4 linked regions of the Rhinolophus ferrumequinum genome follow. The protein of the gene in region 3 interacts with the protein of the main gene of each other region in a pairwise test. Links are inferred from orthologs where the notes say so. Each region holds a gene or a part of one and is shown on either strand. Other genes may lie near its edges. The genes, in order: MIA2, CCDC102B, CCHCR1 and STX11.

Region 1 (7,845 bases), on a different chromosome or scaffold from region 3:
TTTTTTTTAAGGAAGGCACAGGTCACAGTGGCCCATAACGGGGATTGAACCGGCAACCTTGGTGTTATTAGCACCACACTCTAAGTAACTGAGCCAACAAGTCACCCCAAGATGTGCCTTTTTAATATGATAAGCTAAAAGGTCCCAGTCTCTCTTAAACTTGGCCATTGGCAGCACCATAGGATGCAAGGGAAGGCTGGGGTCATCCCATAATTTCTATGGGCACCTCTAAAGTCTCTCCAAGTAAATATAAAAATTTACGTTCAAAAACTACGAATGCTATGTAAAAATAATCTCAAAGCACTCTTAGTTCTCCATGCCAACCAGACTGCCTTCCCAAAAGCTACTTCATAGATATTCTGGAACCAATACTGAAACAAGACCATTTTTGTTTGTTTAAATATGGTAAGGGTTTTTAAAATGTATAAAAAGTACTTTGGAATTCTTTAAGTTCCTTTAGAGATGAAAAGCAGGCATCCTTGTACAAGCTAGCCATTTATTCTGCATTCAGATTTTAAGACTAGATACTTACACTTCCTGCCCACAAATCTTCCCTTTCTCCTGCAAGTTTGACATAAACAGATATCTCTTCTCCCTTAGTGAAGTTCAGGTATCGGCAGTCAGCTCCTCTGTAATCTCTTATGGCTAAGACTCTGCTTATTAACGCTATGTAAACATGTAAAGAAAAACACACAATTTAAATTAAAATGCTATTTCTCCCCCTCCCATCTTGCTCTTTTCCAATCCATCCTATGTATTTCCATGCTAATTTTCTTTATATAATTTATGGTCTCAAAAACCTACATAGACTTTTCACTGCACACAGAATCAATTCAAAACATTTTAGCTCGGTATCCAAAGCTGTCCATTACCTGGTCCTCCTACCCTATTTAAAATGACATCCTCTGATTCCTTTACAGTCAATTTCCTCTATCCATTGTCCCTGGAATGTGTCATTATCATTTTCCAGTGAATAGGGAAGGGAAAGAAAAGATAATTAATGTTTTTCCTGGTACCTATGTATTCCAGCCATTATACTAAGCTCTTTTATATCTTTATTTTATTAAATCCTCAAAACAGACCTATGAGGTAAATAATCTCATCTCATCTCAGTCTAACAAATGAGACTTTAAGTCTCAGAGAATTGGTCACTCACCTGACAAATGGTGGAGCCAAGATTTGCACTGAGGTTCTTTTCGCTGTATCATCTATCTTCTGTATTCCCAGCTTTTCTTTCTGCTCTTTCCTAAACCTAGAAACCCTTCGGTTTCTCTTCATGGTGAACTCATAACTACTGCCTCTGGGAGACATCCCTAATCCGTTTAGCTTACTCTGCCCCTTCTCTGAACTTCAGTATTACCTATTATCCTTAGGTTGTATCAGTGTTTACTAATTAATCAATATCTTGTCTCACTTATTCCGTAGAATGAAAATTCCTGGAGGTCAAGAAACTTATCTTAACATTTCATTTTATTCTCTTAGATTCATCCCCCCCATCTAGACTCAGCACATAACAGGCCCTCAATAACTATGAATGATCATAACCCATATGCTAGATTTAATACATACAGTAATATACATACCAAATTAACTTATAATTATATTAATATATGTAAAACATTTTAATTAAGTTATGCAATCAAAGTTAAAATAACATTATAAATTTGAATATTCTCATTCCATGTTCTGCGTCTGGCCTTAAGGTAACTAAAATGAGGTTGTAAAGAGGGAAAGAAAGATTATTATTATTATAAAACATTATCTAGTAAACCTCAACATATTAAATTACACATCCGAATGGTTAAAGAAAATATTTACTCATAAAACATTTGCTTGTAAATTATTTGTTTACACTAATAATATTTTCCATTTTTAATTTACATATTGCAAATCAGAAATAATTCTCACATACTGGAGAGATAAACCTTATTTAAAGCAATTATAATATATTAGTATGTAATTCATTTTACACCAGAATGCTAATAACAGAAAATAAATTAAGTTCTTAAGCAAGAAAATAAGATTAATTTTGTGTGTGAAGCTGGTTTTCTGTCACAATTGTATCTGCCAAAAATTTAAAATATCTTGTAATAAAATCAAAATATATATGAAAATAAATAAATAAAATAACATTAATATACCTTTATAGAATATAAAGTTGAATATTCAAGGGTATAAATAAAATTATATATTGCCAACACTGATTTCAATATGTTTATATAACTAGTGAACTTAGAAATTATTAATATTTGATAAAGTTTAGACAGTATATCCTGATGGTTTGAAATAAATTCATTTTTAGAGAACTCATGAGAATCAGAAAGTTCTGATTGTGAAATAGAAACTGAAAAATATCGGGGCTTCATAAATCAAGAAATATCAAATGGCTTGATATCTTTTCTAATATAAATCAATTATATTTATCTTAAAAAATAGTAAAAGTTTGAGGTCTGGATTAATATATTGATAATTTCTGACATAATTATACATCAGGCTGATCTTTGCCTTTTTGTATATTTACATTTAAAAAAAATCACAAAATGTCTTCAACATTTTCTTTTTTTACTGAACTATACTTTATAAATAATTCTCAATGATATCAATGCTCATTTTTACCATGCATGTCCACAATAACATTTTATTTCATTTCAGAGCCTCAATTTAAGAGGAAAAGAAAAAAAAGAAAAGCAAACTTACTTTCACATTCCAAGTCACCACATTTTTTAAAGGCTGCCAGCAGTTTTGTGCCTTCCAGACACTTTGTCAGAGAAATAACCAAAAGAAGGATTCTGTGAACTCCAAGCTCCGCCATGCTAAAACAAGCAAGAATCCCAAATGAGGTTTAAACCATATAGGTTGTAGATATGGCCTCCCAAAACAGGAGATACCCCACTCTCTTTTCTAAATACCAGAGAAAAAGGTATAGTTTTTTTAAAGAAATCCCTTGAAAACTACATTTTTCTATCGGTATTTAGGCTTAACTTTCGAGACAAACACTGTCTGTTCTCAATCTGCAGTGTCAGGTATCCAGATAATACATTGGGGTTTAATAATTAACAGGAATTTTTAGTTGGACTCATGTCTTATAAAGGTGGCCTATGTGAAACTGTCTCTCTTAAAGGCACCTTGCGTTCAACATTTCTTAAACAAGCCTCTACGAAAAGATAGATCATTTCTTTCTGTTAAAAACTTCAGGTAAGTCAGTCAATAAGTACAAACTGAGTATTTGCTGCATGCAAATATCAGCATCAATGGAGAAAGTACGTATTATTATTACATGTAGAAGCAGTAACAATTTATGTCACAAAAAGTTTTTGAAATATCATGATGAAAGTTATTTTGAAAAACTATCCCACTTTCATATTTTAAAAAATTTCAGTGTTACTATGAAGTTGAATCTTGTATTTAGGTAAGAATACTAGTTAAAATGTAGTAGTACTTATGTGCCAGGTACTGTCCTAAACACTTAAATATGTGATCTGATTTAACCCTCACACCAGCTCTCTAAGGTAAGTAATATTATCATCCCCATTTTTGTATTTGAGGAAACTGAGGTACATAGAGAAGGGTTAAATCACTTCAACATCACATAGTTAGTAGAGAAGAAACTTAAACCTAGGCACTGTGTTTCCCCCTACTTACAACCACCATGCCTTCCTACCAAGAATCCAGTCATCTGCCACAGAAAGATATCTACTTCTGCCACAGAAAGATATCGTCCGCAACAGTTCTATTCCAGAAAGAGCAGGTACAGTATTATTCCATGTATGTAAAATTGTCTGCATATTTCTATAAATGGAGAGAGAGTTAGAGATGTCTGAAAGAATGCTCCCCCATACAATGGAACTATATGATGTGATTTCAACTTGTATTCACTTTCTTCTTTGTACTGTTCCATAGTTTTGGACTTTCTTTTAAAAATCAGCGAGCATATATCCTTTCAAAAATACCAATAAAGTTAGGCAAACAAGTTATTTGAATGCTATTGTCACTTAAAAGGGATCAAAGCCCTATATTGGGAATTTTTTGTATAACACTAGATCTCAGTAGATTTTTGAAAATCGCAGTTGTCCTATTTCAATCTTGAGGAAATAGTTTTCTAAGCCCGTCTTTGCTGTAGCTTTCCCCTGTATTTGGGCATGCCAGCGTGTGTGTGGTTTGCAGAATGTAGCTCTTGTATGTATGACACCACACTCCCCTCTAGTGCCTGACATAAGAGAGACAAATATCCAGCACCTGAGCAAGCTAAAGTGAAGGACATTTGCTTTCAAAGTCCTAAAAAAAGGAAGTATGTTTTCTTCTTTTTTGCTTGTTTTCCGAAAACAACAATTAGTAGGAAGCCTGCTTTCTCAAATCAAAGATTTTTATGTCCTTAGGAAGAATCTAATATGGCATGAATTTGCAGATCATTTGGCTTGTAATCAGAGTACTGCATAGCTGTACACACGCACACTCAAAGAGGTATAGGTTGGTTTCTTGAATGCTTTTGAAAATCTATAAATATATAAGTTGTCAAAGACATTTAAAACAGGATTAGCTCTTCAGCTAATTTGCGTAATTTATAATATCAAATTGAGAATATTCAATAATTAATGTACTTTATCCTTTTTTGTATTCAACATTAAAGATACTACAGCTAAATTTTGAACTAACTGACTTAATTATGTTCTAAGTTAAGAGAGAAAAGAACCCAGATAAATTTAAGTTTGTCTATTGATTGGCCTACATGAGATTTGATTCAAGAAAAATGAGAAGAAAATCCTTGCTTAAGATACCATCCTGGAGAGATTTGCTCCTAAGGTACGTGCTAGAAATATTCCCACTTTCTTGCTACTTAATGCACTCAGGTGATCTAATTTTATATTCAACTCATTACTTAAATATAATTTAACAAGAAATTATATATGAAAATACAGTAGCACAATGTTAACTTATCTAATAAACCCAAATGAAGAGGAAGTGCATGCAAGAGATAAGAGTATTTAGTTTAAATAAAGTATCAGTTTTCACTGTAAAAACAGTCATATTAACTTAGCCAGATATTATCTGGCTGATGCATTTTGCAAATCAAGTGTGTGTCAATATTAAAATATAGTACTGCTGCTAAAGAAGGTTTCATGGTAACACTCACTCAGGAATACTGGTTTGGAAGGCCTACAGCATCCTTCAGAAACCATACAGGAGGTAAGAGAACTTACTGCATCAAGCTAAAGAAGGAATCATGAAAGCCACCCACATGTTCAGTGTCTGAGAGATGATATCACAGAGCATCCCTTTTCATGAGAATAGAAAGACATAATCATGAATGCTGCTCTTGTACTTCTTGGTGATGTTGTTTCTGATACTGTATAGTACTATCTTCTCTCGTAATATCTCACATTTCCTAAAGTGGGAGCATATTTCCTTCAACGAATTGCCTGTTACTCTGGTAATTTATAAGAAAGAGAAATTTGATTAGAAGTTACTTGGGAGAACTTCTTGAACTGATGAAGCTGGATTTGTTGTTGTTGTTGTTTACTAGTGAAGAGGCACTAGAACAGAGCGCTTGGAAACAGTTCCCATGGTAGATACATGCACAGAGAGACAAGGCCCAGGAGACACTGAGATTCAAACTGGTGTGGAAGACATGGAGATGGCTCTCAACACACCCTCTTCAAGTTAAGACTTTCTGCTCAGCTGCGGGAAATGCAGTTAGCAGACAGCCTCTGCCTGGCAGCCACTCCAAGGTCTACATCAGTTGCAGAGAGCCACCTTACCCCTTCCTAGGTGATCTAGTGAACCTAGTGAGTAAATGACAAGGAAGTACAAAGACAGGGCCATTTCAGCTTCATGTGAGACACTCTGGCAGGCACGCCTCACTCCAGAGCTCCCTCCCTGTTGGGTTGACTAAAGCTTTGTAGAGCCTATATTGCAGTTCAACTTCCCCTCTGCCCAGTCCGGGTCTCTCCCCCTTCTTTTCATAGGTGTTGATCCCGTAAAACTAAAACTCTGTTTTAGTGTCTGTTTCTAGAGGACCCAACCTCAGAAGCTAGTGACCCACAGATGCAAAAAAAAAAGGAGATGGCAGGACATGGCAAAGAGTGGAGAATGGATTGGGAGGAACAAAAAGAGAAAACCCCACACACGGTCCTTATCCTTTACTGTGTGTTTTTGAATAATAGTATGGAACAAGCCAAGCTATCCAGCCAAGATGATACCTGTGTGATATTTGCTGAGCAAGGGTCCGAGCTGATTAGTCTTATCAGGAAGTAGGAAAGAGATTTAATGTTTGTTGAGCACCAACTTTGTACCATACAAATCTCATCTTCCAGGATGGGTATTATTTATGGAGGGCCCATGATGTGTCAGACACCAATCTAGGGACTGGAGATACAGGAGCGAACAGGACAAAGTCCTTGCTCTCATGGACCTTGCATGCTAAGGAAGGGAGACAGATAAGAACCAGCACACAAATAAGTAAACACAATAATTGCAGGTAGTAATAAGTTATTGTGGAGAAAAGTGTCTACTTAGACAAACTTTTCAGGGAAGGCATCTCGGGAGAGTGACAATAGACTTACAGTGGGGGAATACGAAGGCAGAACATTCTGTGCAGAGGGAAGAATTAATGAAGAGGTCATACTTCATTGTCTGAAGTTTGATTTACAAAGATTTAAAGAAAAAACAGAGGCATCTTGGATACATTTCAGGATGTCAGAAACAAGGCTTTAAGGTGTAAACTAACTTGGCATAGAGAATCAAGAAACATAAAGGCAGGTGGAGAGTGGTAGGAGATAAACTAGGAAATGAAGACAGAGGTCAAATCATCCAGGGACTTTTGGCTGTGGAAATGAAATGGGAGTTTTATTCTAGGTGCAATGGGAAGCCATAGAAAGTTTTAAGGAAGGGAATGGCGTTATTTGTGTTTTTATCATATAACTTCACTTTCTTGCTTTGCTAATTCCTACTTATTCTTCAAGTCTCTTAGGTTAGATCAATAAATACATCACTCAATAACTTTTTATTGAATGAATGAAAGAATGCATGCATGAGTGAATAAATGAATTGATTTCTTTTCGAGCAAGACTCTTCATGCCTCATGACTAAATGAAATTCTATCTTCAGCTGTGTAGCTCAACTGCTCTCTCATTTCAAAAAGAAAGTCAAGTAACCTTTTGATTAAATTTTCTCTTCTGTAAAAAAAAGTTCTGACAAAAAGAATTGGATCCCCTATTTATCTTTATTATTGGCTTGGCATCAGTAGCAGCAGTAGAACTCTAGATATGCAGCAAGCTAAGCTATAAAAACCTTTTGGATTCCCAAATACCATAAGGGGTGCTTGACAAGTTGCTACATATGAGTAAGTTAATGAGCAACAATACAGAAATATTTAATATTCCTACTAATTTTCAATTACCAATAACCTGAATGTCTTTTTTAAATTTTTATTGAGGAATATTGGGGAACAGTATGTTTTTCCAGGACCCATCAGTTCCATGTCAAGTCGTTGTTTTCAATCTAGTTGTGGAGGGCGCAGCTCACTGGCCCATGTGGGAATCGAACCGGCGACCTTGGTGTTATGAGCACTGCAGCCGCCCCTGAATGTCTTTTAAGAACCCACATGGGTCAATCTTATATGCTCTTAAACCCTCCCCTCCAGAATCCTCCTCCTTCACTCCCTACTGCTACCCTCTTATTTATGTATCTTCTTGCTTTTTTTGGTGTCCATGTCCCTAAGTACCTCATAAGCTTTTTTAAAAAAACTCCCAAGCTTTTTTAAGAAAAAAAAAATTAACTAATTCACAAAAATATCAGCAATGTGTATGCCTCCTCCAAATAATTAAAAATTTAAGTTTATAGAATACA
Region 2 (6,884 bases), on a different chromosome or scaffold from region 3:
TGCTAAAATGGCAGCATAGATTAATATAAGGTAATTTTATGTAACTGAAAACAATGAAAAACAGAAAAAAAATAAAATGAGTCCCATTCTAGATACTAGTCCTATTCTATTTAGAGAGAAAGTGAAATAGCATGTTTAAAGTTTGGCTGTAAAGGGGGAAAGTTTTAATAACTAGGATCTATTCTTTTTACTATGGCTATACTGTAGTAACATCAGTATGTTACTACATACTGATATATTTTATATCAGCATATATTTTATAAATGCTCTTCACCCACTGAAATAAAGCCTAGATGATACTTCTCTTTGATAATAATTTTTTTCCATAATTTTAAGAAAGTGCGGTCACTAAGCATTCATTCATATCACACATCAAGAAGAAACAAAGGAAACCCCTGTGTTCCCAGTATTATTGCCAGGCACCTCACATATTTCATTTCTGGTAATATCGATAAAAATCAGTGATTAAATTTCCTGAAACATCAAAGCTGTCTTCTTTGAATACAACATTCAAGAAAATGAGAAAGAGAAAAGCATAAGAGTTGAATGTCAGCACAGCCTGTTTAAATGTAAAAAGCTTATTTTCAGTATCAGTTTCTCTTTCTATCCCCAAAGGAGAGTGGACCACCTGAGAGAATTGCGATTAGCCTGGATTTGCAGATGTTGGAATTGATGGTTGCCGTTTTCTCACCGCCTCCTTCCTGCACTCTGTTATCCCAACACCCATTCCAAACCATCCTGCTTAATTTAGGCCGGATTGACATTCCTAAAATACCAGTGCAACATAGTGGAAATAGCTCCGGAGCCAGACAGACATTGTTTGAAATCCTGGCTTCAGCACTTACTCTCTCCGCAGCTTTAAATAAATCATTTCATGTTTCTGCATATCAGATTCCTTCATGTGTAAGAGGAAGACACTAGGCAAAACGAAAATTCATTTGATTGCACGACTTTCAAAATTGTACTCATGTATGTAAATTATGTTGCACATAGGAAACATGATCATGTGTTGGCAAGATGACGACAATGGAGGTGATGATTACTAAGGAGGCGGAGGAGGAAAGGGACACAAGACTCCATCTCTTCAGAAATTTACAATCGCCCCCATTGTATCATACAGAGGACAAAATCACTCTGTGCATTTTCAGATGCTCCACGATTTTGTCTGCTCTTTCCATGGAGCTCAATGTCTGCTTCTCACAAAGGGGTGTTTTTTCTGCCTCAATGAGGCAGGGAACCCATCTCTCCTTCTCTGCTCTGTCTTAATTGATGCCTCGACACCCTTTGCTCCAACTACTACAAAGTAGAAGAGTCTTTTTGCTTCCCAGCAACTACCCAAGTTCCACTGATTTTTCATGGCTAAGTTCAGAAAGCCAGACTTTTCTTTCAAGCCTTCTCTAAAATCTTTTTAAAAAGGGAATTTTTGAAGATTTTCACATTATGGCAGAATCCAATTGACCTTGTAATATCAGCATAAGAGGCAGGATACTTCTTCAACTAGAAGTGGCCTGAGATCATTTTCAATTTTAAAGAATTACTGCCATTATGTTTGTGACTCTAATAATTGGATGAAACCCTCGTAAATTGCGAGACCACACCCATAGTGAGGCACCAAGAAGCTCTGTCCCAGTGATCAATCAGTTACTGAATCCAATGAAAACAAATGAAGACTGCAAGACAGAAACCATTACATGATCTGTTATTTCACAAGAAAACTATTTGTAACGTTTTGAATGAAAAGTAATTCATATCAAACATTTCTTTCTAGATATCATTCACATACACACACTGATATTTTAAATTGATATTGCAACATCACACAAAGCATAAATATATTGTATCACTAGCTTTTCGAGATTTCTTTGTAATCTAATGCTTATGTCAAAATATGGATAAAAATGAGAATTCAAGAACATTTAATGTAGACGTGAGGATATTTGACTATAAAATAACAACAAAACATTTAATCAGAAGTCGTAACAACACCCTATCCCACAAAATATCAGCAAAAGGGTGTTTACATGATTTTACAAAGTAGAAAAATTAGTGTTGATGTAAATGAAAATATCAAGAAATAGCGTTGTGTATTTCAATACCATATGTTACTTACATGTTTCTAATTATGTTTTTAAGAACATCTTCCTTATATTTCTATTTAATAGACACCCACTCAACATTCATTTTATAATTTATCTTTGCAGGAAACATAAGCAAATACTGCCCAATGGTTTCCAGAGATCCCTTTTTCTTCAGCTCTATAAGCACTGTCTATAGAGTTAAGCATCCGTTTCCTTTTTATTATGCACAGGATCTCATTATTTTATTCTATGTCCCTATCTCCTTCCCACCACCCAGGTAATTTATATAAAGAAATCAATATTACTGCTAAGTCTGAAGTATGCTTTTCAGTTAACAATGACAGGAATTCAGCATGAAAACAACTCTAAGTACATGAAGCGTAACGTATGAGGGTTTGCATAACAATTTTACTTTGTTTTTACTCTAACAATATAGATTACTTCAAGCACATAACTTATATCCACTTGGAACTACCAAACAAGGTTTTAATACCCACATATCATATTGCTGTCTTAATTTAGAGTGAAATTCTTACCTGAATTTTGTTTAGTATACAGTTTTTTTTAAAAGACAGGAAATGTATGACAAGCTGTCAGGATACATAATGCCAACAGTGGGAAATGGAAGAGGGAGGGAAGAAATCAAATCCACTTTTAGCAGAAACTCCAAATCCCCCTGTTTCCCAGACCTACAGTAGTTTTGTTCTGCATCTTACAAGTAACTGTCCTTCTCTCTGCTCCGAGAACAACACATGCTCTGCCCCAGCAGGAAAATATAAAAATTAAGTAGAAAACCACAAGGTTATTAAGCATCTTACCCTCTGGGCTTGCTGGGCTGTTCTAGCGGCTCAGTGTTACAGACACATGCATAAACAACAGAATTTCCTGCATCCTTTTCTCATCTGTGGAGCTCTGGGGTCCTGGCCAACAGGATTATTTCCAGCATTAAGGCCACTCCACACTAACTCGAACAAGATTCCCATTGGTTGTGAAGTTTTATCAAAACCAATACCACAACACCCTCTGTGGATCACAAGTGAGCTAACCAAAATGAAATCATTTCAGCGTTCCCTAACAAAGTATGGTTAGCCAACATGTTGCATACAACCCATTGGAAACGATGTACTGTGGATAAAAAAGAAAACACCCGCCCCTTCATCCACAAATTTGTTCAGTGTTTAATAACAATAGGCATAGCTTGTAATAGTAATAGAAACAGGAAAATGGCAGAGCAAAAAAAAAACCTAAAAAAGTTTCTATCTGCCACGATCCCAAAATCACAGGAACAAAAGAAAATATCATCGTTTTTATCATGATTTTTTCTATACTGCCCCCCCTAAAAAAGAAAAAAAAAATTTAATGAAACATTTAATAAAACCTCTGATTTCAGTCATGCTGGCAGGATCTGGAAGCTCCACAGCCCCCAGCCAGAGCTGTCTGGCCCCTTTCCTTGGGGGGAAAACACGGACTGACTTCCCAGTGACATGACACAGCTGTCAGGAAGTGTTCTGATGGAGGAGTGATGGTAGACCACATAAAAGACAGCTTCTCTGGTTGAAACGAACAGCACCGAATGCGCAAAGAAGAGAGGACAGAAGAGACACAATCACTACACTCCTTGTTAATAGCATGAGAGCAGCATGTGAAAGTCAGGGAGCTCATGTCTTAAAATTAGTGTATGCCTCCTCCCTTCTCAATTTGGAGGATTATTCTTAGCTGAACAACGTTTGCATCATCTCTTTCGGCTTCACAGCATCCTTTCCTCCTTCCTCTGGAGAGGGAGACCCCTCTGCAGGAGAAAGTGAATCCACTGAGGATTCCTGTCCCCCGTCTTCTCAGGGAATATGATCACCCACCATTCTCTCTCCTTTCTTTGAACTCTCCCTTTTGTCTGGATGTTCCCATGATATTTTAAACACCATAAATTCTTCAATTTCATTTATGTCAATCAATTTCACTTTCAATTCGCTCATTTTCCTTGTAGCAACCATTCTCCCTCCTCTCCAAATTATTCAAAGAGCTCTCTCCAACTAAGCATCCATACTAAGGCCACCTACTCCCTTTAAGGCGGCAACGTGACTGTCTCTGGAAACACACCCGTGCACACACAAACGCACGCACGCACGCACGCACGTGCATATTTTGCACAGCGTCCTCTCAGTCCTCACTCTACTTGCCATCTACACAGCCTCTGATGCTGTTCACAATCCTGCTGACATGAAGATTCTGTTCTCTGATCTGAGCACGACACCCTCCAGGTCTTCCTGCTGATCACTGCCACTGCCTCCCCCGCTCCCTGGGGTGTTGCCTCTCTTCCCTCCAACCCCTGGCGTCTATCAGGTATGCTCTCATGTAAATGTGTTATCTCCCTGGATAATGGCACCCATTATCATGGTTACAATGATCATCTTTCTTGGCTGAGGACTCCAAATTATCAACATTTGGATCCAATCCTCTTCTGAGTCTCCAACACTCATGTGCATCAGCACACTAGAAAATACCACACATATGTCATCAACATACTTAAAACTGAAATCATCGTTTCTCTGTGAACTTGCTGTGTTGTTTATCTGAATAATGCCAACCAGGCTTATGGTTTACTAACAAAAATCCTGGAAGCCTTCCTTGACTCCTTTTCGATTCTGTATCCAACCCAGCATCACTGCCTTTTGATTTTCCTTCAATACTATGCCCAGTTCAGGCAACCGTCATAATCTGGATTTCTATGTCCTCCTAATTTATCCACCTGCCCTCATGCTAGTCCCTCTACATCTTCAGCAAGAGTGACGGTGGTCTGTTTCTAGTACTCATGCAAATTCAGATCTCTGAAGATTTTAACCCCTTATCAAATCTCTTCTTCACAATGTATTTGCCAGAATTCAACGGTTCTGGATTATTTTTTCTGTCTTGTGGACCATGCCATGTACTTACCCCGTCCTTTATTACTTCCCTTTCCTTTCAAGGTGCAATACCAACAAGTAACAATCGCTGGTCCTAGTGTCACCCCACATCCTTTGTCAGGGTGACCCCATGTGTTTTGTGCCTTCTTTTGTCATACGCATTGTTGCAGGTTCAATTGCAAACCCTAAAAAGCCCTGGTGCCTGTGTATGTGACCTTATTTGGAAATAGGGTCTTTGCAGATGTAACCCAGTTAAAATGAAGTCACAGTGAATAAGGGTGGGCTTTAACCCAATGGTTGGTGTCCTCACAAGAAGAGGGAAATTTAGATCCAGAAACACAGAAAAGGACACCGTGGGAAGATATAGGTAGAGATTGGAGTGATACGTATACAAACCAGGGATTGCTGGGAACCACCACAATCCAGGAAGAGGCCAGGAAGGTTTCTCTCTCTTTTAGAGGTTATGGTCCCACTGACCACTTGATTTGGGAGTACTAGTATCCAGAACTGTGAGACAATAAATACCTGTTGTTTTAATCACCAAGTTTGTGGTGATTCGTTATGGAACACTAGCAAATACAGTAATATACATAAAATTCCCAAATATATATGGCCAGCCCAAAACAGTTTATCAAGCTTTGGATCTGTATTTGTAACAGTCTAATGAGAACATTCACAGGGAGCCATTTGAATCATTAATAATCTTCAAAAGCGAAATCTCATATTTCTTCCAAAACCTTTACTTGTATTCTCAACCTTAAGTAGCGATACTACCATCCATCCAGGCTCTCAAGCTAGCAACCTTTTTGTTATTCCTGAGCCCTCACACCTTTTTATCCTTCAAATATAATAGCTTGCTTTTATATGTAGTAAAACCTGAAAGAATTGTCTGTTTCTCTGTCTTCATTTCCTTCCATCTCTTGAACCTACACCAATCAGATTTTTGTTTCACCACATCAATTTTTTACAGGCAAGTGTATAAATCACTGAGCAGGAAAATCGGGATATATATATGGAGAACACTGTCTCAACAGAAGCTTTGCCAAATTAAGGTTCTGTTTCACCCCCACAACCCCACTTTCTTAGGGTCAGAAAGTAGAGTAGGTGTCTTGCTTTGTCCTTGTTGCTAAGTCTGGATCACCAATGCTGTTTACCGACAGTGTGGGACCTACCAGTGTCATGGAAACAAAGCGATCCAGTGTCTCCATCTTAGTTCAGAGTACACTGCCACCATGGTCACTCACTCTCTCTTTCTCTGCCCACCCCCTTTTACACACACACACACACACACACACACACACACACACACACAGGTACAAACCTCTTCATTACCTTAACACTACATATCCCATAACAAGTAATAGGAGCATAAGGAAAAGAGAACAGAAAATTCAGCCTTGGAGTTCTCATAACTTGTTGGCAAGTTGCCAGCATCACAAGGCACTGAACACACATCAATATGGGCTGATTTTTGTGTGCATGTGTGGATTCCAATTTCATTGTACATCTCAAGTTCTCCCTGTGAATTCTACTGTTTGCTAACCTGGAATAATTTCTCTGCCTCCTCCCCACAAAAATAAATTGTATTTTTATTTGGGACAACAATATGACAGTTAAAAAAAAAAAAAGCTTATACTATTATACCAAGACTCCGATGACAAATACACTTAGCTCCATGGCACAGTTTTGCTGGTGATACATAAGTGGAAGCCTAATGAGCATTTGTGGAAAGTTCTGTCTTCCTGATATGGATGCCACCACATTGTTTCACTTTTTTCTTCTTCCTCCTCCTTGAACAAGGCTGGGAGGCTGAAGATAGAGAAGAATTCCTTAACTGATTGTAGGGTCACGATTCAGATGGAAACCACACTGGGAAAGGCAGGAGGAGCCAGGACCATGGTTGCCA
Region 3 (7,739 bases):
GTTGGTAAGTAGGTAGGAGTAGAGAGGGTAGACATGCAGGTTGCAATAGACTACCAAGATAAGGCCTTTCCTAGAAAGAACAGAAACACTGCTTTGACGGTACCTTGGCTTGGTGTAAGGGTCACAGAAGGAAACCAGTGAACCGTGCATGGGTTAGGTTGATGCACACGGGACCAGGCCAGGGTCTGCTCTGGCTGGTTGACCAGCTCTTCTCTTCCCTGGCAGCACTAGCACCCTTGTTTTGTTGCGCTTCACAGATGTTGCATTTTCTACAAGTCAAAGGCAAGGCCCTCCACCAGTAAAGATTATGGCTCCCGTTAGTGCAGTGGTCTGAACATGCAATGTCTCTGAGGTGTGTCTGTACAAGTGAAGCTTGTAACAGTTCTGCCATCTACATGAAACTGACCAAACCCCAGCTCCCTTATTTTAATGGCATTGGGTCTGTTTTCCTTTAAAGGAGAAGACTTCTTACCTGGGTTCCTTTTTTCCCATCTCCCATCTCCAGCTCATCCCACCTATGTGCATCTCCCCAGTGAACGGGTTTGTATTTCTCTGCCTTTTCTGCTCATCTCCCAGGCCCTTAAGAACTCATGTTCTGCAAACCTTCCCAAGGCCATTCTCCCAAGAATTGGAAAGCATGAGTATGAGACCCACAAAAAGAATAAATGGCAGTGAATGAAGCTACTCTTTATTTGGAAATGAAAGCAAACCTCTGAAAAGCCAGGCTACAAACAGGGTCAGCAATAGGACTCCCCACAATATAAGGAAGTTTGGGGGCAGTGCTCTAGGTTTCCCCCAGAATGCCTCAGGTGATGCCATCCAAGAATGTTGAGAACTCACTTGTTAGTGTCTGGGGCTTACATCTTCCCAGGCATGGTCTCTGCAATTGACCAGAGCTCTGGTCACAGACATTCTAGTGTGAATGGCAGCCAGGACCTGGGAATTTCCAGCTCACTGGCAACTTCCTGCAGGCAGTGTTATCTTTGGCAGGAAACCATCTCTTCTGTCACGTTGGCCATGAGGGCCTGTTCTAGACCCATAGCAATGGACCCCAGCACTGTGGGCATTCCCTCCTGGGCAGGCAAGAGAAAGCAGTTCTTAGAACCCACTGGTATTCCCTCGTGTCCACCCATGGCCTGGAGGTGCCAGCTGTCTGGCCCCTTGGTGGAGGGCCTTAGGTCTGGACAGTCGCATGACACCCTGGGCACCGGAAGTCAGCCTCCCTGGCAGCCTGGATACTGCAGCCAACACAGGCCACGTGGAACCAGACGTCACAACCATCACACTGAACCCAGGCCACTGTCTCTTCTTGGGGCAGGAAGCAACAAGGGGCTGCACAGGGCTCCCCGGCCCCAGCAGCAGGGGCAGTCATGGTGCTCACTGGGTACTTCGGAGGACGCCCATGACGATTTCTAAAGAAAGTGAGAAAAACCAGGGTCACTGGAAACCTGTAGAAGCCTAGTACTTTACCCTGGATGATACCTGAACCTATGTAGACTCCCTAGACTAATGGTGAACCTGGTTAGGAGCTAAACCAGGTCTTGCCATTCCAACATCTGTTCTCTGTCCACCTCCTACCCCCCACCCCAAGCAGAGGGCCACCTCCCAACCTGAGGCTCTAAAAAGGAATCAAAAGGCAGTGAAACATTGAGAAAACGATCTCTCCACTTACCCACTAGATGTCAGAGGGGTTTTGTCTACTCGGAGTTTTTTCCTGGGCTCTCTAAGGACTAGTGGGGGGCTCTCAGGAGCCTCTCTCTCATCATCCAATTCTGCCAACACTCGGTGAGCCGATTTCCTCCGATTTCTTGGGGGTGGGGCAGAAGGGGCGGTCTCCACTGCCCCAGGGGGAATGGGAGCAGGCCGGCTCTGTGGCCCACCCCCAGTCCGTGAGAAGGTGAAGGGCTGGGGCTGGAGCTTGCTGAGGCTGCCAATGGAGTTGAGGATCAGCGTGGCTCTCGGGGCTGAGGCCAGGGTGCCGAGGGGGCGCTGTGGAGCCCCCTGTGGGGGCAGCATGGGCCAGAAACCAGCTCCTGGTCCCTCTTCCCTAGACCGTGGGACGGTAATGGCAGCAAAATCTTGAGGTTTGACATGGACTTGCTGAAACATGAAGTAGAACTCCGAGGGGCTGGTTCCTGGGGGCCCTTCAGGGCCGAAGGTCAGAAGGTCACCATCACTCAACTGCAGCTTGTGACCCCTTGGGAGTCGGACATTATTGACCAAAGTCCCTGTTGATGACGGGCACCAGACAGATACAGAGAATGACAAAAACATGACCAGAGTCAGGAGTAGAGAAATCTGGTCCTGTCTGATTTTCTGGGGAGCGTGAGGAAGAATATGGCACCTGTCATCAAATTCTCACATTCTAAGTCCCTCAGCAGGTGACATCAGATGTTAAGCTCTTTCTGAGCTGGGAACAAGTGTACTTCTTATGCCCTCCCACAGGACAAGGAGGGAACAGACCCCTTCCCTCACTCCACTGAAGTCCAGTTCTGACGTGCTCACTGTCTCCCAGCTCATTCAGCGGAGCTCAGACTGGGTCTGAATCCTGACTGCACCACTTGCCCACTTCATGACCCTGGAGAAGTTACCCTCTGTGCCTCATTTTCCTTGTCTAAAACGGGGCTGATGTTAATGCTCGTCCACAGTCAATGCATTTAAAACGGTGCCTGGTTCAATAGTAAGCGCTAAATGAATATCGGCTACTATAGTTACCTAATCCCCACCACACTCCCCAAACAGACCTTACAAAGCTTCCACTTTACCTAAGAGGAAACTAAGATTCAGAGAAATGAAGTGACAGGCCTGAGTTTTCACCTGGGGCCAGTGGCAGAACTCAGATGTGAGCCCAGGCTTTTTGAGGTTGGCTGTGACCACCTCCGAGTCAGGGAGTAAGACACATGCCCATATCATTAAAACAGTTCAGCATCCTAACTGCCTTAAGACAGGAACAAGGCACCTCAGCAAATCTGGAAACTGAGTCAGGCCTGAGCTTGGCCCCAGAACATCCCCACTGTGATATTTCCCTGCTGCCCAGGCTCTGGCTCTACCTCCCAGCCCCTGTATGAGCTAAACAGGGGCCACCAAGAGTCAGCCGGGCAGAGAGCTGCTGACATTGCACACTTTGGGTGAGAAGACAAGAGGTCTGGACTACAACCATCCATCCAACCTGACAGGGCGCTTGGGAAGCAGGCAGGGTCCCTGGGGAGCCCCTTCATCATCCCGGCCCAGAACGGCTCACTGCTCACCTTGGCTGCTGCAGTCCTCCAGGCTGACCCTCCAGGCATCACCCTGGCGCTCGGCGTGCAGCTCCGCGTGGACTCCAGAGATCAGGCCGGGCTCCTGTTGGGGCTTCAGGGCCACATCACACAGGTCAGCCCTGTGGCCCAAGCGATAGGTGCATCCAGCGCCGCTTGGGGGGTGGAAGGTGTAGAGATCACCGCCCCTGCCGCCTCCGACGCGCAGCAGCTGAAAGCAGGGCAGCATGGGCGGCGCCCCCTCGGCCCCACCTCTTCCACTTCAGGAATCCATCACCTTCCCCACTCCTGAGCCATGCACGGTGGCCCAAGTTCGCTTTCCGTCTGATGCAAACTTGAGCTATGATTTGTGCAATTTCAACTTTGAGCACACCCCCTGAGCAGTGCAAATTCAGTCCAAGGATCCTAAGCACGTGATGCAAAACTGGCTGTCAAGCAGCTTTGAACTGAAAATTCTGGGAAGGTCCCGGTGCAGTGCAAAAACGAACACGTCCTATGGTACTTTAGATGAACCGATCCTCAGTCTGCAAAATATTCGGAAAGCCTTCAATCTGTGCAAGGTAACATACATTCGGCAGCTTCTGGGGAACTGGGAACTGTAGGTGTGTATGGGGGCGTCCTACTTCTGTGCAATACTAACTTGTCGCCTCGATATAATTTGGGGAAAAGAAGCTTCTTCCTGTCAGACTTGCTTATCCAAATAGAGTAGCCAGCCCTCCTGCTCGCCCGCGCCTCTCTTTTCTGGCCAACCCCTCGCACATAACTAGTTAGCTTGAACCCCAGTGGAAAGTGATTCCACTGTCACCCCCTCCCAAAAGGCAGTGAAAACGGGTCCCTACGTTCTTTCGCAAAGTGGATCTAAATCCCTGCTTCCCGGCTTTTTCGGGTGAGATAATAACAAAGGAAAGAGCTCCCCGAGATCATGCAAGGCAAACCCAGCCTTTTGCCTCCCCGCCCCAGCTCCGTTTCGGATCTACCGCGCGGTGCAGTCTCGAAGTGGTCTCCTCTCCGGCAGTGCCAGCCTGTGCAGCGTTCCGGGACCCCTCGGGCTCCGGCCTGAGCTGCCGCTCCTGCTTGCTGTTTGACAGCGAGGAAGCCGGGCCAGGAGGGGAGCGGCCTACGCGCGCGGGCAGCTCCGACCCCGCCTTCGGAATTCCCCGGTCCGAATTTCGCGCCAGCGAGCCCGCCCCTCCCCCGTACCGTTCCTGATTGGCCAGCCCCTATGCCCTCCTCCGTTCCATTGGGCGGGGCGCTGGCAGGCTCCCCCGATGTCCCGCCTACCACTTTTTCTGATTAGTTCACAAGTTTTCCCGGGTTCCGGGAGTTAGGAGGCGCCGCCAGGGCGCGGAGGTGCCCCAACGTGGTAATTGGGCAGGGCTTTAGACACTCCTGCGCCTGCGTGTATCTCTTCCCCGCCCCCCCACTTCCGGTTTTTGAGCGGCCCGCCAATGGGTCCACTCTGCGCAAGCGCGGTCAGGGGCGGGACCAGCGCCGCAGCAAGGAGTTGGGGGCGTGGCGAAAGGGCAAAGGGGGTTCTCGTGCTGGGTGAGGGGGCTTTCGGGAAGAGTCAGTTGGGGGTGGGAAGGGGTTGAGAAGGGGTTTGGGTTGGGATCAGGGTCCCATAGGGGAGGAGGGGGTACAGGCGCCGGGTAAAGGAACAGATAAGGGGGTCAGAATAGCCTTAGAGCTCCGGGTATATCGGGGTGAAGACTCAGGGGTGTCTGGGGGAGTTAGGGGGGAACGGACTGAATGCCAGCTAGAGTAGGGAGAAGAGAGGAGGCTGTTGAGCTGAGAGATGAAGGTGAGAGTGAGGGAGCAGTGTAATTCAAGGAGAAAGCAGATTAGGATGTAGGGAAGGAGGGGGGAGGAATCCTAGATCGAGGGAAAAGTGGGTGAATTTGGGTGGGAGGGTGGGAGACCCTGAAGAGCCCTCGCTGTGCTCTAGGACGCTGAAGAGAGGAGGGTGGGTGGCAGGAATGGAAGTTAAGGGGATAGAGAAACTAAGAGGAAGTTGCTAGAGGGGTTTGCATGAGATGTCAGGAAGCTGGCTTTTCTGCCAAGGGATCTAGGCTGCCTAGATTCCCAGGGGTTCTGGGGAGGCGCCCTGCCCTACATGTGGCCACATTCATCTGGGGTCAGCTTGGGCCAGCGCTTTAATAGGGAAGGGCCCAGGAGTCATGGCTTGGTGGTGTCCGGATGGGCTTCCCCAAGGCCTGCTGAGCCATGGAGAGAACTCTGGAGACTGGGCTCACAGTCCCGGCACCACACACCTCCAACCAAGAATGGCAGAGACTATAAAAACCTGAGGAGGAGGGTAAAGGCACTACCCAGACCTGAAAAGTTTGAGTAAAGCCTAAGAGCTCCCTCTTAGCCTGTTTCAGTAAATTCCCTCCATCTCATGGTTATTGCCCCAGTTCTATCAGGGACCAGGTTGGGTGAAACAAGTGATCTTTGGGTATTTCCTACTTCCGGGAAGTAGAAAAAGAGGAGCTTAGAGTCTGGTGGACCTGGCTCTTATTTAAGGATAATGACTGTTATTTTAGGGGCTTTCTCTTTGGAAGGTGGCCTGAAAATTGAATTGGAGTGCCCTTGTTTCTCCTGTTGTCCAGGGGAACATAGATGGCTGGACACAGAATCTAGAGACTTCAAATAATGTGGAGATGTTTCGACCTTCAGGTCAGTGGGACCTGGCAAGGGGACTGGTGATTGTCTCTTCCTGGGAAACTGACCATCTCTGTCCTTGTGATTCCTCAGGTTCCACTGGGCTCATTCCCCCATCCCACTTTCAAGCGCGGCCCCTTCCTACCAAACCAAGAATGGCTCCCACCTGGGTCTCAGACATTCCCCTGGCCCATCAAGATGTCTCAGAGAGGCGGCCAGACAACCAGAAACCTCAAGTGATCATGTGGGAACGGGATGTTTCTGGCGATGGGCAGGAACCAGGGCAGAGAGGCAGGTAGGGGTCCGCTGTCACACTGTGTTCTCAGGCTGGCTTGCCAGAGACCCTTGCTTACTGAAATTTCATACCGTAGTTTGGTAGTTTGTTCATTTTTCCGTAAGCAATTATTGGTGCCTGCAATGCATAAATAATAATAAGGCAGCATGCTAGACGATAGGGATGGGGATAACAAAAATAAATAGGAGAAATCCTGATATCAAAGAATTTCAAGTCCTAAGGGAAGAGACCGATTGACCAACAGCTGATCGTAATAAGCATGATATACAAGGCAAGGTGAAGAAGTTCAAACTGAGACTGTTTTTGTGCTGGATGGATTCATCCTGATGGAGCACCGGCTGTGGGAGCTCACTGTGCTATTTGTCAATGTGTTGTCTGTAAAGATTCTTATTCTTGTTTCACGTATGTCTTTTCCCAAATGTACTGGAATGCCATTCTGCCGTTGTGCTCTAGCGTGGGATTGGAGACAGCGCTGCCTCGGACCCCATCAAATAGGAAGGAGCATGACGACGAAGGGGGAGCACTGCAGTGGGTGTCAGGAGACAGAGACACTCTGTTCCTCGTTTGGCACCAGCTAGGGGTCCTTTGGCCAGTCACTTAACTTCTCTAGGCTATAGTTCCCTGCTTAAAGAAAAAAAAAAACCCTGTGATTCTGGGCCCCAGTGAGGGCGCTATGCCAACAGCCATGTTATAAGCTGTAACTTTATGTGACACCAATAGCGCCGTGAGCGCGCTCTCTGCTCATCTCCCTCAGACTTTACCTTGCCCTTAAATCAGAATTCAGAAGTCTCTGCATGTACTTCCAACCTCTCTAATTCAGAATGTGTGCACTAATGATGTGCACATTTCATGTTTAAGACATCCTTGTGTGTAGCTCCAGAGGCCATGTTCCATGATCTCAGCCAGTCTAGGTCCTTTGAGCCCCGGCACTGGACCTTCTATGCTTAGTAGGGCCTCCATGGATGACGAGGGTGCTGGGAATGCAGAGATCCCCACGGCCCAGCTTCATCCCCCCGTCTCCTCACATAGGAGCAGAGGGATCTCTTCTGTCTCCATTTATGCCCTGGCCACCTTCCCAGCCTCAGAGATAGGTCTCACCTGTGCTAACCTGTCTTTGCAGGTCCGTGGAGCGGCAGGGGTCACAGGCCCTGAGCCAGCAGGCTGAGCTGATCTCTTGGCAGCTGCAAGAGCTGCGGCGGCTGGAAGAGGAGGCCCGGGTCCTGCGGGAGACCTCGCTGCAGCAGCAGATGAGGCTGGAGGCCCAGGCCCTGGAGCTGGAGGCTCTGGCACGGGCGGAGAGGGCCGGCCGAGCTGAGGCGGAGGGCCTGCGTGCCGCCTTGGCTGGGGCCGATGTTGTCCGGAAGAACCTGGAAGAGGGGAGCCAGCGGGAGCTGGAGGAGATTCAGAGGCTGCACCAGGAGCAGGTGAATGTGGGGGTGGGAAGAGCTCGGCTTCATAGTGGGAAACTGGGCAGTAATTTCCCGGCAGAGAGCAGGAATCAAAGAAAAGCAGTGGAGTGATGAGAA
Region 4 (7,448 bases), about 87 Mb from region 3:
CTAGATTTTTATATCTCCAGCATATGTGCAGATCTCTTCTGTTTGCCTCTTTAGATCCACTTTCTGCTTTGCTCCATCCTACTCTCGACCCTGGGAGGTTGATCTGAATGGACTTTGGAAACAGGCTCCTAGGCCTTTAGACTTCTTTTGGGCTTGACCAATAGGGAACTCGAGCAGGAGAGCAAAAGCAGGGGATGAGGTCAAGGCATTTATTCCGAACAGAAAGCCTGTCTGTGTCCCTCTTATTTAAGGTGGTCTGTTCTACACGATTCCTCTCCTTCCTGGTTCTGAATACCTCTCCCCATTCATGAGTCTCAGGCCTGGGGTATGCCAGCCCAGGGGTCCCTTATGGTTCCCACCCTGTTTGCATCTTTATAATAGTACCCTTATTAATAAACCTTCCTTGAATTGTTCTAATTTGAATGTGCTATCAGTTTTAGGTTGAGATCCTAACTGACACAGTATCCTTAATTAGTAGGTAAAGGACAGTGTCCAAATCCTATTCTGAAAATTTTATACCTATAGTCTTTATAAAAAGTGTTCCTTGATGATAATATCATCTCCTGAATTCAATCCACTAGTTAGCTGTATGAAGAAATCATGTTGTATGTCATCTGATATAAATTTTTTTCAGATGTACTCAGGCTAGAAAAAATATTCTCAGATTCACAGGCAAATCTTCTTGCATATAGCTTCTCTACATAACGTGTAATCTTTGGAGATATAAAACTAAGACTCTATAAAGTATATAGGTTAACTTTTAAGGGTTTAAATAGTTTGATATCTAATAATATTTAAATTCCCTCTAAATGTGTGAGGAAATCTGTACCTCAGTACTGCAAACAAGCCATCATTACTCAATCCACCCAGCTTACCGGAGAACAGTTTCTAACCCTGTGCTTAGACTGCAAGATTGTGTCCCCCTCAAATTTATATTTTAAAACCTGATCCCTGATGTGATATTAGGAAGTGGTGCCTCGGGGTGATTAAGTCATAAGGATGGAGCCCTGAAGAATGGGATGAGTGTCCCTGTAAAAGAGACCCTAGACAGCTCCCTCACCCCTTCTGAGATGTGAGGGCAGTGAGAAGACGGCCAATGACCAGGAAGTGGGCCCCCCCCCAACACACACACACACACACACACACACACACACGCGCGCGCGGAGTCGGCCAGGGCCTTCATCTTGGACTTCCCAACCTCTAGAACTGTGAGAAGTAAATTTCTGTTAGAAGTTCTGTGAGAAGTTTGTAAGCTGCTCGGTTAGATATTTTTGTTACAGCATAGCCCAAATGAACTAAGACACCTTTGAAGCTCAGGATTTCAATGTACAATTATTAGCAAACATCAGATCATTAAAAAATATAAACCCCAGAAAGCTAATACCAATGTTAAAGATAACCAACACTTATTGTTCGGTTATAATGTGCTAAGCACTGTTTTGACGTTTTCATATATTATTTCATTTAATTCTCATCAGAAATGTATGAGGTGTTCATAATTCAGCCCCATATGACAGAGGAGGAAATCCGTCCTGTCCACTCCCCCAACCGCAGCAAGCAAAGGATCCTGGATTCAAATCCTAGTGTCTGACACAACAGTCCAAGTTCTTAAACACCAATAAAGATTCCAAGAACAACATCAAAGACCACAGAAGAACCAAAAAATGAGAACTTTTCAAAGCAAATGATTTCTTCTATCCTGTTACCTACACTCAAAGAGCAATGTCAAAATCTAGGTAAGCTTAGAAAAATTACTCTAAAAGAAAAAAGAATGCAACACATAACTCTCATAGAAAAGCAAATTTTTTTGTTGTTCAATAAGCTTATTTTTCTGTGCATGGTATACAAGGAGGGGTAGAAATCAAGTGGTGAACATTGTATGATTTTGGTATTAAATTTTTTTCCTGCCTATAATTCCTGAAATGATACTGTTGCATTCTTATTTTAACCCAAATGGCAATTAAGTGAAAACTTTCCTCTTACATATTGGCATATACTGACCTGAAGTTTAGCATGTACTGGGTAATTTATGTATACAAATAGAATACTTTCTGTAAAAGAGATTGGGCCGAAACAACCTGATCTAGAGATAGTAGAATTGATCTGCTTAATAGCTCTTAAGGGAAACCAATTTTTCTGCAACTGTGATTTTGCATAACAAGTTGCAAAAGTATTTTAAGATGAGACTCTTACTCAATACTCACTTCTCGTAAACCCTTTTTTGCACCATGGCCCTGTCCTGCGGAACTGATAAAAGTGAAACAAGAGCATCAACAGAAGGTAACCAATAAGCCGTGCCTGTCACAGATAATAGTTTAGTCATAAGCCTTTAAATATTGGGTTTGAATTTGAATCATTAATTTAGTTCTCAGCAAGTGTAATTTTCACAAAGAAGCTAAACAGTTTTACATCCATATGATTTGTGCTATCTGTTTAGAAACTATGTATTTCTACTCCCAAAATCCTTACTTTGGGGCTGAGACACGATTTTCTTTTCGTTTTCCTCTTCATCCATTTCATCCCCTTGCTGCAGCTCCATGTCTTTTCTTTATCTGTCTTCCTTTTCCCTTTTCAAAGGGATGGGTTTCTTCGTTAAATACAGTCTATAATTTCTGTGAGTTTGTGGACCACAGCCAGCTTCCCTCCGTGACCCTAAAGAAAACTTAAAAATACAATATTGGCACCACAAAAAACAAGCATGTTTCAAATGATGACTACGTGCTTTAAGATGAACTTACTAAAGGTAACCGTGAAAACAGATTGCAATCTGAGCAGTGAACTCACACATTCAATGCACACATTCAACAAAGTCTTTCCTTGAGCATACCTGCCTTTGGGATGATGATGTTGTTGAGACCTTGGAGAAGCTGACAGATGTTCCTCTCCTTTCGCCGCTCTTTACTTGTGTCCCCTGAGCATGAGGAGGAATCTTTGCCTGACACAGCCTTGCATCATTAGCTCTGGATGTTGAAAGCAGGCCACTCCAGCTGATTTCTTTAAACCGTATTTTCTATAAGTTGGTGATGCGCAAAGGAGAGTTATGAAACAGGAACTTTTGCCACAACACTACATCCCTAGTCACAAGGAAACATTTACAAAATAAATGCTCCTACAAATCAGAATTGATTACAATGCAAATGTCAGTGGGGGACATAATCTATTCACACCTTATTTCTTTCATGGTCCTAGTACATCATCTCTCCAACTTCGATAATGAGCGGACCCCTCTTCAGGGAAAAGAATATATGGCACCCAGGATTGACAAATTATTTCTACTCTAATGTTACCTGAATATAATATATATACAATGTTATTTACATAGACGTGGTATAAATGTCTATGACTACAGAATATAAAATCCAAACCAATCTACACATTAAAAATATAAAATCAAAAATATTAAAATAAACATGGATTTAATGTTGTTTTGATGAAGTAAAACGAAAAATCTTTAGTTTTTTTTAAATAGAAAAGTGCATTGGGGTTTTTTGTATTTCATTGATTAGCTATATTATTCTCTTTATTTTGAGGATAACAGATACTCATTTAAATGATCCTCATCATACTATGACTTTTTCTTTTAAATATATATTCACCTCGAATCATCAATCCTTGGATTTTTTTTTCAGCTTTATTGAGGTATACTTGACAAATAAAATTGTAAGATGTTTGAAATGTGTAAAGTGTGCGACGATGTATGTATACACTGTGAAAAGAGTCCCACCATCTAATTAACATATCCATCACCTCCCATATTTATCTTCTTTTGTGTGTGAGAACATTTAAGCTTTGCTCTAGTAGCAAATTTCAATTATATTATACAGTGTTAACTATGGTCAGTATGTTTACATTAGATCCTCAGACCTTATTCATCTCATAGCTGAACACTTGTACGTTTTTACCAACCTCTTCTTATTTCCCCCACCCCACCTCCTGGCAGTCAGTTTTCAACTGTTTCTATGAGTTTGACTTTTTCTTTCAAGTCCATATATAAGTGATACCATGCAGTATTTGTCTTTCTCTCTCGGGCTTATTTCACTTAGCATAATGTCCTCCGATTCCATCCATGTTGTTGCAAATGGTAGGATTTGCTTTTTTCTCATGGCTGAATAATATTCATATATATATATATTTACATATATATATATATCAAAAAAATGTATACACATTTTAAGAAAGGAAAAAAACTATTAAAATAGTATATACTGATAACAAAAGATAAATACAAGTCACGTTTGACTGCTGCAATTACAAGAGGTGCTCAAAGTGATTACCATCAGCATCCAGACACTTCTGATTATGACGAACTACTTCTTGTGCAACATTGACCAAGTGTCCACTTGTGTACATTTTTTTGACAACCCTGTTATATATAGAGAGAGTGCCAAAAAATGTATACACGTTTTATGAAAAGAAAAAACTATATTAAAATTACTCTGATATATATATATACCGTGTTTCCCCAAAAATAAGACCTAACTGAAAAATAAGCCCTAGCATGATTTTTCAGGATGACACCCCCTGAACATAGCCCTAATGTGTCATGGAGCAAAAATTAATATAAGATCCGGTCTTATTTTCAGGGAAACATGGTGTGTATGTATATATATATATATATATATATATATATATATATATATATATATGTAGTAATATATATATACATATGTGTATATATATACACACACATATATATTATGTGTATACATATATATGTATATACATATAATGTGTATATATTATATGGACATTTAGGTTGTTTCCATATCTTAGCTATTGTGAATAATGCTTCAATGAACACGGGAGAGCATATATCTTTTCAAGTTACTGTTTTCATTTTCTTCACATAAATACCCACAAGTAGAACTTTTGGGTCATAAGGTAGTTCTAGTTTTAATTTTTTGAGGTACCTCATACTGTTTTCCATAGTGACTGCACCAATTTACATTCCCACCAACAGCGCACAAGGGTTCCCTTTTCTCCACATTAATGGCCAACACCTATTATCACTTGTCTTTTTGATGATGGCCATTCTAACAGGTGTGAGGTGATATTTCATTGAAGTTCTGTTTGTATTTCCCTGATGATTAGCGATGTTGAGAGCACCTTTTCATGTACCTGTTGGGCATTTCTACATCTTCTTTAGTGTGAATGAAGAAGGGGCCACATGCTAAACCGACAAGCTCAGGGGAGGTCAGCATGGTGAGTCCTACAAACTCAGAGACTGAAATTAACTATATAGGATGGTCTGGACATAAAAATTCCTAACTAAAAGCGGGTCATGGCAGGTTGTCACATCCTTGGCCTGTCGCTTCCTTCGCAGGTCAATCTTGACCTTAAGTGAGCCTGTCTGTTGTCTTTTTTGCATCTAAAATAACATACCCTTGGAATGTCAGAGTAATCCCTTTTTTTCCAGACCCCTCAGGACACAGCCAACTTCACCACAGCCAACTGGGCTCTAATAAACTCATTAAAATTCTCTACAGGTTTGGACGTTTCTTATGTCAACATTAGGAAATGTCTGTTCAGTTCCTCTGCCCATTTTTTAATCGGATTGGTTTTTTGTTGTTGTTTTGTTTTTTTGATTGTTTGTTTGTTTTGCTATTGAGTTGTATGAGTTCTTCCTATATTTTGGATATTCACTCCCTATCAGATATAGAATTTGCAAATATTTTCTCCCATTCTATAGGTTGTCTTTATGTTTTGTTGATGGTTTTTTTTTGAAGTGCTAAAACTTTTTAGTTCGATGTAGTCCCACTTGTTTATTTTTTCTTTTGTTGTTTTTGCTTTTGGTGTCAAATCAAAAAAATTATTGTAAAGACCAATATGAAGATTACCCCCTGTGTTTTCTTCTAGGAGTTTATGGTTTCAGATTTTATGTTCAAGTATTTAACCCATTTAGAGTTGATTTTGGGGCATGGTGTAATATAGAGCTTCAGTTTCATTGTTTTGCATGTGGCTGTCCAGTTTTCCCAACACCACTTATTGAAGAGACTATCCTTTCCTCATTGTATATTCTTGACTTGTTCTAAATTATTTGATCATAGATGCATATGTATATTTCTCAGCTCTCTGTTCTGTTCCATTGATGTATGTGTCTGTTTTTATGCCAATACCGTATGTTTTGATTACTACAGCTGTGTGAAATAGTTTGAAATCAGGACATGTGATGCCTCCAGCTTTGTTCTGTCTCAAGATTTCTTTAGCTATTTGAGGTCTTTTTGTGGTTTCATACACATTTTGGAATTATTTGTTCTATTTTTGTGTAATATGTTGTTTTCGCTTACTTAAGATTCTCTCTGTCTTTAACTTTTGACAGTTTAATTATAATGTGTCTCAGTGTGGTTCTCTTTGGATTCAGCCTGGTCCTGTTACTGTAGGCAGAAAGAACTAGGCAGAAAGAGCAGTGTGTGGGGAGAGAAGGGTGAGACAAAGGAAGGAGGAAATGAGGTCATTCTTAAGAAAAGGTGCAGCTACAGCTAAAGGTAACAGATTACAATAACATTAGCATTGCAGGCCGGGAAAATTCTCCACCCCTGTGTCGCCATGAAAGTTCCCACAAGAGCCAGTAAAAACAAGGGAATCCCACCTCCCAACAGGAAGGAGTGGTCAGCAAGGATAGCAGGGACCCACCCTGGGAATACCTATGACACCAGCCCTAAAACTTGAATAGTTCATACTCTCATTCAAATACAACCCTAAGCCTCTTTGTTCTTTGGTGCAGTTGCCCTCCTCCTGGCTGGCCCACTTCCATTATTTTGGGGAGTGTACTCTTTTTCTTTACTTCAATAAATCCACTGCTTGCTTGGCTTTGTTCTCACGACTCATTCGATTAGTCCTTGAATTCCTTTCTGGGATGATACAAGAACCCTTTTTTTTGGTAACATATGGTTATAATGAGTCAGTAATTTTAAAACTCTCCGTATAATAAAATACCAACATATAAGTCTAATGTAATGAAAATGTCTTTAATGAATATTTATGATTATATTTAGTGCTAATGAATTGAAATACTGTATGTGATACTACATACACACATGAATGTGGTAGTAACTTTGAAGGTACAGATGGAAAACGCACAGGGTGAGCCCCGTTCGTCCCAGCTTATTGCTTTGAGAGAGTTTCCAGCACATGGCACGGAAAAGAAGAAACCAGGCAGATTCCCTGAGTTAAGGAGATGAAGATAAATGTCCAGGGAGATGAAGGTGATTAAAATTCGTAGGAAAGAAAGAGAGAGAGAGAGAGAGAGAGAGAGAGAGAGAGAGAGAGACCCCAGGAGATCTGCTCCAAGGAGTCACAGAGATTTCTCAGTGCATGCATGTGAGAAAACTACCTGGAGCTGGAGCAAAGACACCTAAAAAGATTGGAAGGAGCAGTAACTTTCGCTCACACAGGCCATAAATAATGCCTATTCCCACTAGCCATACAGGAAAAGCCTCATAATTCAC

Evidence for each region.
Region 1: the proteins of CCHCR1 (region 3) and MIA2 interact in binary tests that used the Homo sapiens proteins (3 or more experiments, as listed by UniProt). The link is inferred for Rhinolophus ferrumequinum from reciprocal best matches to the Homo sapiens genes CCHCR1 and MIA2.
Region 2: the proteins of CCHCR1 (region 3) and CCDC102B interact in binary tests that used the Homo sapiens proteins (3 or more experiments, as listed by UniProt). The link is inferred for Rhinolophus ferrumequinum from reciprocal best matches to the Homo sapiens genes CCHCR1 and CCDC102B.
Region 4: the proteins of CCHCR1 (region 3) and STX11 interact in binary tests that used the Homo sapiens proteins (3 or more experiments, as listed by UniProt). The link is inferred for Rhinolophus ferrumequinum from reciprocal best matches to the Homo sapiens genes CCHCR1 and STX11.

Annotation. Positions count from the first base shown.
Region 1 is NC_046289.1:86,527,049-86,534,893, reverse strand, and holds the start of MIA2 (melanoma inhibitory activity protein 2), read right to left. Parts: upstream 3,018-7,845; 5' UTR 2,813-3,017; coding exon 2,698-2,812; intron 667-2,697; coding exon 533-666; intron 1-532. UniProt on the Homo sapiens protein: Plays a role in the transport of cargos that are too large to fit into COPII-coated vesicles and require specific mechanisms to be incorporated into membrane-bound carriers and exported from the endoplasmic reticulum.
Region 2 is NC_046302.1:53,808,382-53,815,265, reverse strand, and holds the start of CCDC102B (coiled-coil domain-containing protein 102B), read right to left. Parts: upstream 3,016-6,884; 5' UTR 2,897-3,015; intron 1-2,896. UniProt on the Homo sapiens protein: During interphase, forms fibers at the proximal ends of centrioles to maintain centrosome cohesion. During mitosis, dissociates from the centrosome following phosphorylation to allow centrosome separation. Contributes to CROCC/rootletin filament formation.
Region 3 is NC_046286.1:1,661,667-1,669,405, reverse strand, and holds the start of CCHCR1 (coiled-coil alpha-helical rod protein 1), read left to right. Parts: upstream 1-4,720; 5' UTR 4,721-4,802; intron 4,803-5,800; exon of another isoform or gene 5,801-5,866; 5' UTR 5,867-5,917; coding exon 5,918-5,933; intron 5,934-6,011; coding exon 6,012-6,213; intron 6,214-7,333; coding exon 7,334-7,637; intron 7,638-7,739. Other genes in the region: TCF19 (transcription factor 19), read right to left, coding at 1,175-1,412, 1,673-2,228, 3,249-3,486. UniProt on the Homo sapiens protein: May be a regulator of keratinocyte proliferation or differentiation.
Region 4 is NC_046286.1:88,729,539-88,736,986, reverse strand, and holds the start of STX11 (syntaxin-11), read right to left. Parts: upstream 3,015-7,448; 5' UTR 2,828-3,014; intron 2,663-2,827; exon of another isoform or gene 2,653-2,662; 5' UTR 2,540-2,652; coding exon 2,470-2,539; intron 1-2,469. UniProt on the Homo sapiens protein: SNARE that acts to regulate protein transport between late endosomes and the trans-Golgi network.